2 linked regions of the Diceros bicornis minor genome follow. The protein of the gene in region 1 interacts with the protein of each later gene in a biochemical or structural test. Links are inferred from orthologs where the notes say so. Each region holds a gene or a part of one and is shown on either strand. Other genes may lie near its edges.

What was found. The genes of interacting proteins can lie anywhere in the genome.
Region 2: the proteins of PAFAH1B1 (region 1) and DCX form a complex in vitro, tested with the Homo sapiens proteins (2 studies listed by BioGRID). The link is inferred for Diceros bicornis minor from reciprocal best matches to the Homo sapiens genes PAFAH1B1 and DCX.

Annotation. Positions count from the first base shown.
Region 1 is NC_080757.1:15,310,123-15,313,869, reverse strand, and holds the start of PAFAH1B1 (platelet-activating factor acetylhydrolase IB subunit beta), read left to right. Parts: upstream 1-807; 5' UTR 808-1,169; intron 1,170-1,722; exon of another isoform or gene 1,723-2,004; intron 2,005-3,747. UniProt on the Homo sapiens protein: Regulatory subunit (beta subunit) of the cytosolic type I platelet-activating factor (PAF) acetylhydrolase (PAF-AH (I)), an enzyme that catalyzes the hydrolyze of the acetyl group at the sn-2 position of PAF and its analogs and participates in PAF inactivation.
Region 2 is NC_080781.1:103,378,568-103,382,314, forward strand, and holds the start of DCX (neuronal migration protein doublecortin), read right to left. Parts: upstream 2,870-3,747; 5' UTR 2,820-2,869; intron 2,702-2,819; exon of another isoform or gene 2,639-2,701; intron 1,094-2,638; 5' UTR 1,072-1,093; coding exon 708-1,071; intron 1-707. UniProt on the Homo sapiens protein: Microtubule-associated protein required for initial steps of neuronal dispersion and cortex lamination during cerebral cortex development. May act by competing with the putative neuronal protein kinase DCLK1 in binding to a target protein.

The sequences.
Region 1 (3,747 bases):
ACTACAAATCCCCAAGACTTCTTTGTCATCAGTATTTTAACTCATATTTTAGCAAACACACACACATGCCTTGTCGGGATAAAGTTCTAGGTCTTTCTTTGCGCATCAGTTTCGAGACTTCGAGTCTCAGACGTGTGTGTGACTAAGGAAAAGAATAGCTGAATCACATCTAAAAGCGAATCTTCCCAGTTAAAAATCTATAGGAAAAATGCAGACAATTTGGCACTCCATCGGCCTTTTAACCTCAACAGCTCTTCTCCCCAAGTCAACCCAACCCACTCATCTCCCCTTACCCACCCCCTCAACTGGGAAATAAACCCGAAGGCTGGAGGTAGGAGGGACGACGCCCTGACCCGGGCTCCGCTTTATTCTGAAGCCTATCAGGGCCCGGAATCCACGGGTGCCAACGGGTCCCTGCTGTTTGGCCGGGGGACGCGGGGAAAGTGCCGTTTTCGGGCAAGAGCAGGGAGAGGAGGTGAACAGAGCTGGAGTTCGTGAGGAGCCACAACAGTGAGAGGACGGTCTAGAAAAGGGAGTGGAGAGCCTTTTTCCAAGGTTACAGAGGCAAGCCGAGCGCGAGGAGAGCCTCGTGCGCAAACTCGCCCACCGGCCCCTCGGTACCGCCAAGCCGCACCAGCCACCCGCCCGCTAAGCGGAAGGCAGCGCGGCTCAGGGCCCGGCCCAGGCCGGCGCATGCGCCGCAACCCCTCCTCCGCTCCCGGCCCCCTCCCTTCCCTCTTCCCGGCGGGTTTGGGGCGGCGGCGGCGGCGCGGTGACGTCAGGGCGTTGGGGCAGCTCCTGTGACAGACGGAGCTGGAGCGGCGGGGCGGCGGCGGAGTCCGGCGGCCGAGATAGCGAGTGAGCGAGCGAAGGAGCAGCGACCCCGGGGTCCAGGGAGCGAGAAGGAGAAGGAGGGGAGCGCTCGGGCGCGAGCGAGAGAAACTGCGAGCGCCGGGCTTGGGCTCGAGCCCCGGAACGGCTGAGGAGCCCGCCCGCTCCCCTCCCCTCCCCCTCCCCGGGACCGGGCCCAGGCCCAGCGCGCCATCCTCCCCCTCCCTCCTTCCCTCCCTCCCTCCTTCCTCCCTTCCCTCTCCCTCTCCCCCTCCCCCGCCGGTGGATGGGAGTGAAGGACGGAAGAGGCCCTGCGGAGTCGGCGGTGCAGCGCTCCGGTAAGGCGGCTTGGGTCTGCGCCCTCCCCTCTGTCTCCTCCACCGCGCTCGGGCGGCTGCGGGCCGGGCCCGGCGGCCTGACGATGTGGCTGCGCCGGTCCCCTCCCTCCCATTCTCCCCCTCCCCCTGCCGCCGCCTCCTCCTTCTTCTTCTCTCCTCGCTCTCAAAATGGCGGCCGCGACGGCCGTTGAGTGAGAGACACGGGAGGAGGGGGGACAGGCCCGGGAGGTTGCTGCCCTCGCTCCACTGCTCCGCGGCCCGGGTTCGGGGGGTTCTAGGGCCGCCGCGACTCCGTCCGCGGCCCTCCCCGAGAAGAGATCGCCCTCCTCCCTCGGTGACTTAGCAAGAAAAGTATTCTTGGGTAGGAAGGGCGTGGAGAGCAGGTCGCTCTCTGATCTTGGGGAAAGGGTTCGGCCCTCGTCTCGCCGGCCGCGTAAGGCGAGCTCCGCAGTCCCCACGCCCTCCGCGGTTGGCGGCTCGGGGACCCGGCTCAGCCCCGCGCCGCCTCGGCACCCACAGGCCTTCGGGCGTTCCGTCCCCCACCTGTCCTTAGGATGAGGTTGACCTGAGGAGGATGGCCCACCCCTTCCCTGGCGCCCCTGTGCGGTGGTCCAGCCTCGATATCCGCTAAGGAGGAGCGGCCCGACCCACCGAACCATCTGCAGCATCCACCTACCAAATCAGGCGGGGTTTTCTTTTCTGCCACCGGCTCCTCAAACGGGAGTTGCCTTTTGACGTTGTAACAACTGAGCTTCGAGGCCCTCAGCCATTCCCCTTCATCTAATCTCATCTCCCGACTCCTTTAGGAAAGACAGTGCCTTCTGTAGCCTCCCAGGTGAGAAAATGCCTTTGAGGTGGTGGGCAAATTTTAACTCGACCTCTCGAAACAGAAGAGTAGAAAAGAGGAGGTTTTCAATGTCTGAGATGAGAGAGAGCAAGATGCCTTGGCGTTATTTGTTATTCTGCCTTTCTTCAGTGACTTAGCAAGAAACTCCTTGGAAGGAGGGCAGGAGATTTTCTGTTGGGGTTGGGATTTGGGTCCAATTTATATCAATCCTTTGGTTAAGAAATTGTGCTTTGAAAGAGAAGAACCAGATTTGTGGTCTCGTCCTCAATGGGCGATGTCATGCCAAGGTTCCCCCCTCCCCCTTTCCTTAAGAGGCCATTGAGAGAGAATAAAGATATTACTGTTGTTCTGATCGCTACTTTAACACACAATCCTTGGGATTCGTAACGTTTTAAATGCTAAACAAAAAATTTGTGCGATTTTTGGTAATTCTGTTTTTGTTGGGAGGTGGGTTGTTTTGTGTGAATTTCATTTTCAAGCTAGGGCGGAGGAGACAGTGCTTGGGCCTTTGATACCGGTAATGTCATCCCTCCCCTTTTGCCACAGTAGTATTTGCTTGCTTTTTTTTTTTTTTTTTTGCTGCAGCAAGGCTTGATGGCTGCGGGGTCCAGTCTCTTAATCAGGAAAATTTCCTGCTTGGATATGTCAGTAGTGATATAAAGACGAATATATAAAAAGCCTTTACTTAAATTCTGATTTCGTTCTAAGGCAGTAGCTAGCTTTTAATCTCTCATGGGTATCTTTCAGGACACAGTTTTGCAAAATAATTGGCAGTTGCAAATTGCAGTTTTTATTAAAGCAGAAGAGTAATCTGTATTTAGAGTGGTTTATTCTTTCATGTTCTATTATAAATGATCATTGTTTGAATTGGAAGGAGAGGATCTCCTAAAACAAATTTGAAGCTGTTATTTTTTTATAAATCAGGGAAAGGAACCCAATTTTTCACAAAATATTTCTGTATATATTGATTTTTATGGAGCTAGCCCTATTTTGGTACCTCCCCACCACCACCTTTTTTTTTTTAAATGGGCTAATATTTGTGGATGCTGTGAACAGCCATTCAGCTGAGGAGACTGGGTGGAGTAAGAGAGCAGAAGCTGTGAAATGCTAGATTGCCCTTTCATAACATTTTTCTCCTGCTTATGTTTTGTAAGGTTATTTGATGCTAATTAGTGCTACAACAAAGGCATTTCTCTGTAGTAAATCTTAAAATCTCATGTTTTTAGTTTTCACCTTTTTGCAAGATAGATATTGAATGGTTAGGATAAAAAGCAATGTCCCTTTCCTAAAGCAGACACTTATTGTCTCTGTAAATATACATACACATATATATACACAGCCTTGTTAATGTTTTTTATTGTTTTAGTCAAGTAAGTGTAAATTAATGAATGCCAGAAATATTTGGCAAGAAATAGTAGAAATATTGCAAAAATCTAATAATGCTACAGATGTTTTCTTTTACTTTAGTTTGCATTAAAACAGTAAGTCTGATTTTTTAATAATGAACATCAAAGATGAATAAAAAAGGATAAGATAAATTGTGTTAAAGGCTCTTTATATAGACCTTTTCTCTTGTGTTGTCCCTTGAAAGGGACCTTTTTGTAAGGTTCTACCATAAGAGAGGATAGGTCACTTTAATGTCTTGTAGCAGGCACTCATGTGAACAGACATCTTCAAAAGAATGTCAAAATCATGTGGTAAATGAGCCTTCTGACTTTGTCATGTATGATA
Region 2 (3,747 bases), on another chromosome or scaffold:
AGTTATAAAATTCAATTGCAAAACCAAAATCTAGAGAGGATTTAAAGGGATTTAGGTACAGCTAGTCAGTTCCTATTCTAATAGGAATAGTCTTTATTAAAATACCAGACATACCTACAGCTTTCTTTGGTATTTCTCTCAATGACCTCAGCCTTAGGGACACACCCTGAAGTGGGCTTTTTAGAAGCAACAGCTGAGCAGTGACCACTTACCTAAAAGTATAATCCTTTGTGAATATGTCCAGGAAGTCCTGCTTTTAGGGTGCATATTTCCATGAGTTGCAATTCACAAATAGTCTCTCAGCCGTTCAAAGGATATTTGGATATAATATTTTCTCTCTGTTAACCCAACTTAACTTCCTTCCTCAGTTTACGCCCATAATGATTTCATGGTCTGCCTCGATAGTGCTACTTAATTATGAACAAGGTCTAGAGTAAATGACACAATTCAGATTTTCCTTTGTAAACCCTGACAGATAAGCACAATGCATTATCACCACCATCTTACACTTCACTCCAGCAGAGACTGAAGGCCATGAAGGGTAATGGCTACTGGCTCTGTCGATACATAGAGAATCAGAAGTCTAAGCATCAACCTGGTGTTTTGACAAATGTATTTTCTAATTTCTGTCAATGAAATCCAAGAAATGTAACCAGAACCAATGTTGCCACCTCCCACCAAGGGCCACCACCCACTCTTTGAATTACCTTCCTCCAGTTCATCCATGCTTCCGATTTTCCTGGCTCCATCAATGGTGTAAATGTAACGCACTCCCTGAGGCAGGTTGATGTTGTCAGACAGAGATCGAGTCAGGTCAGCCAGCAAGGCGTCGAAGCTGCGAAAACGGTCAGAGGACACAGCGTACACAATCCCCTTGAAGTAGCGGTCCCCATTGCGGTAGAAACGTACCTTCTTGGCTTTCTTCTCGTTGCTCAGTGCCTGCAAGGTTCTGGTTCGGTAGAAGCTACAATGGGCGCTGTGAGTGGGGCTAGGGAGCCCATTCATCCGTGAGCCTCGCATGTTCCTGGATGTCTTATCTCTTTCGTCAAAATGTCCAAAATCAAGTTCCATATTTTGGTGGAACCTCAGAGACCTGAGTGTTGTAGAAAGGGGCGGGGGAGAGTGAAAAGAGGCAAAGAAAAAGGAGTGAGGAGGAAAAAAAACGAAAGGAATTCAAATATTAGCTAGATCCAGATCTGCAATCTGCTGCTTGTGAAAAGAACTGGTTGAAAAAAGCCCGTGACCCATCTGCTGCTTGCCCCTGACCTGCAGGAATATTGATCTTAATAGAGAAGAAGGAGGGGCTAGGGGGGTGCTATTGGTTGTGGGGGTTGGGGGTGAGTGATAGGGAAGGAGGCACTTTTGGCACTGTTCCAAACAGAGGAGCAGGAGGAATTTTGAAATAGCTTAAAATCTTGGGACTTACTGACAGTGGCTCCTATCAAATTGTGACTTCGGGCTAAATACATTAAAACTGGCATCTGTTTCCTCGCACATGCCCACATGGCTAACAGTTGTAAATGAATCCATAGCCTGACAAAATTCTCCTTGAAGAGAACAGAAGGAGCTAGCCAACGTTAGCATCTCCAGTTTAGGAAGCAATCTTTGCCTCTCAGTAAAATGACTATGAAGGCGAGTGTTTTAATTTTATTCCAAATCCTTTTTTCTACTCTAATGTGTGTGTCCCCTCCCCCCAGAATAAACTAGGATTCTCCTTTAAAGGGACAGCCTCCAGGGAATAGCCAGCATCTTTGTGCTATTCACCAAACCCTTTCCCCCACCAAGCTGGTGCAGCTATCCAACATTCATAAGCAATAAGCTGAAAAAAAGGATTAGAAAAATCCGTTAGTTAACAAGTTGTTAGCTCTGCTTTCCCCCGTTACCATTTGGTCACAAAATCATTTTCTTTTCTTTCCTTTTTTTTTTTTAGGCACTCGATTCCTCCCCACTGATGCAGCCGCACCTCTTAATGGAATAATTTAATTGTCGAAAGATTCCTAAATGAGTTCCTGAACAGCATATGGGACCTTTAGAAGCAAGCACACCTTTCATTGTTCTGCACTTCTACCCTGACTGAGGGGGCATTTTGCCCTCACGGCAGGCAATTCACCCCAAACTTCTGTATTGCCCAGGTGCATTGGCTGAAGCAAAAGATGGTCATCTGTCAGATTTGCTTTCCCCCCTTCTGCTGAGCCAAAAAAAAAAGAAAAAAAATCAAAACATGAAACCAAATGCAACAGAAGCTCCAAATGCTAGCAAAGGTAGTGACAGCCTAGGAACCAAACTATTAACATGCATCTCACAGATGGGGATAAAAGGACTCACAAAGAAAGCAGGGCTCAGCTGCTACACATTGCCACATTGAGATATTTGCAAGGGACCAGGAGGACAAAGGAGGACTGGTGCCTAGTCGCTTTGCCAGGCTTGGTCCCCCTTTTCTTCCAATGTCACCATGACCTGTGCTGAGCTCAGCGTTGTCTCTGTCAGACAACCTGCAGTGGTGAGAGACCCCACCTCCTCAAGACAAGTAGGAAGCATTTCCCCAGGCATGCCAGTAAAGCTCGGCTTTGCTTTAGGATCAGGGGTGGTGTTATTCTAAATCAACATCACGGTAAAAACAAAGCAACACCAAACTCACTTTTCCAAAGGAAAATCCCAGGAAGAGGCTTAGGAAAAAATCCGATAGAATAAGGCAAAGGGGGAAAAAAAAAAAAAAAAGGAGAAGCAGAGAAAGAGAGAGAGCGTGCACTTTGCCTTGTGCTTTTCCCGTTTGACATCTGTTACATTCTGCCTGAAAATCACTTGAAAGCCCCACTCACCGGTTTTCTGCTGGTTGGGTGGAGATGCTGAGAGAAAGAAAACCAATCTCTCTATGCCTTTGTTGTCTGAGCTCCAAGCAAGAAATTCCTGCCAGGGTGGATAGATGCCTTCTAGGTCCTAGTGCCTTGTCTAGTTCTCCCCTATAACTCAGGTTTAGTGAATCCCCCAACCTCCTATGATTAATTACACTCTTTTTTTTTTTTTTCAACTCACAGGCTGCGTTAACAGCTAGAAAGGTTTCATTTATAACCAACAGGAAATTGCAGGGTAGCAAAAAGATTGCACAGGCAAGTTCAGAATGCTCTACTGAGCAATGTGCTAGCCTTTTCTTTTAGGGAATTGGCAATTTCACTTGGCCAAACAAAACCTTGGCCTAATCTGCCTGGGGGCCAGACTCAGACAGTCAAACCAGTCTTCTTAGAAATTCTAGCTCTCTTCCTTTCACCTTCTTGAAAGAAAACAATCAAATCTGCAAATTCTTTAAGGCATTTTAATTCATGCATCCAACTGGATGTTTTTGAAATGAAATCAGTGGAGTAGACTAAGAGGGAGTAGGAAACTGACGAGATAAGGGAAAAGAGTTCCAGAATTTCATGGAAGGTGGAGCTGCAAAAGAATCCTAAAGACCTTTTAGCTTGGTATAATAACTTGGTTAATGGGATATGCAACGTTTCAAAACCAACCCAGAGACCTTTCTAGGTGAAGTAAGTCTGATGGCTACAAGATAAATATTAATGGCTCTCTCCTCAAACTACCTATTTGTTACCAATTTGCTTCTTTATATCCAATAGGTTATAATAAGAGCAAGGAAGCATCCAAATTGAATTCATTAAATCAAACCGAACTATAAGACAAAAGAAGAGAAAAGTGAGAGACTAGAGTAGAGGTGCGCTCCCACCCTCACAACTGAGGCTACAGCCATTAAAA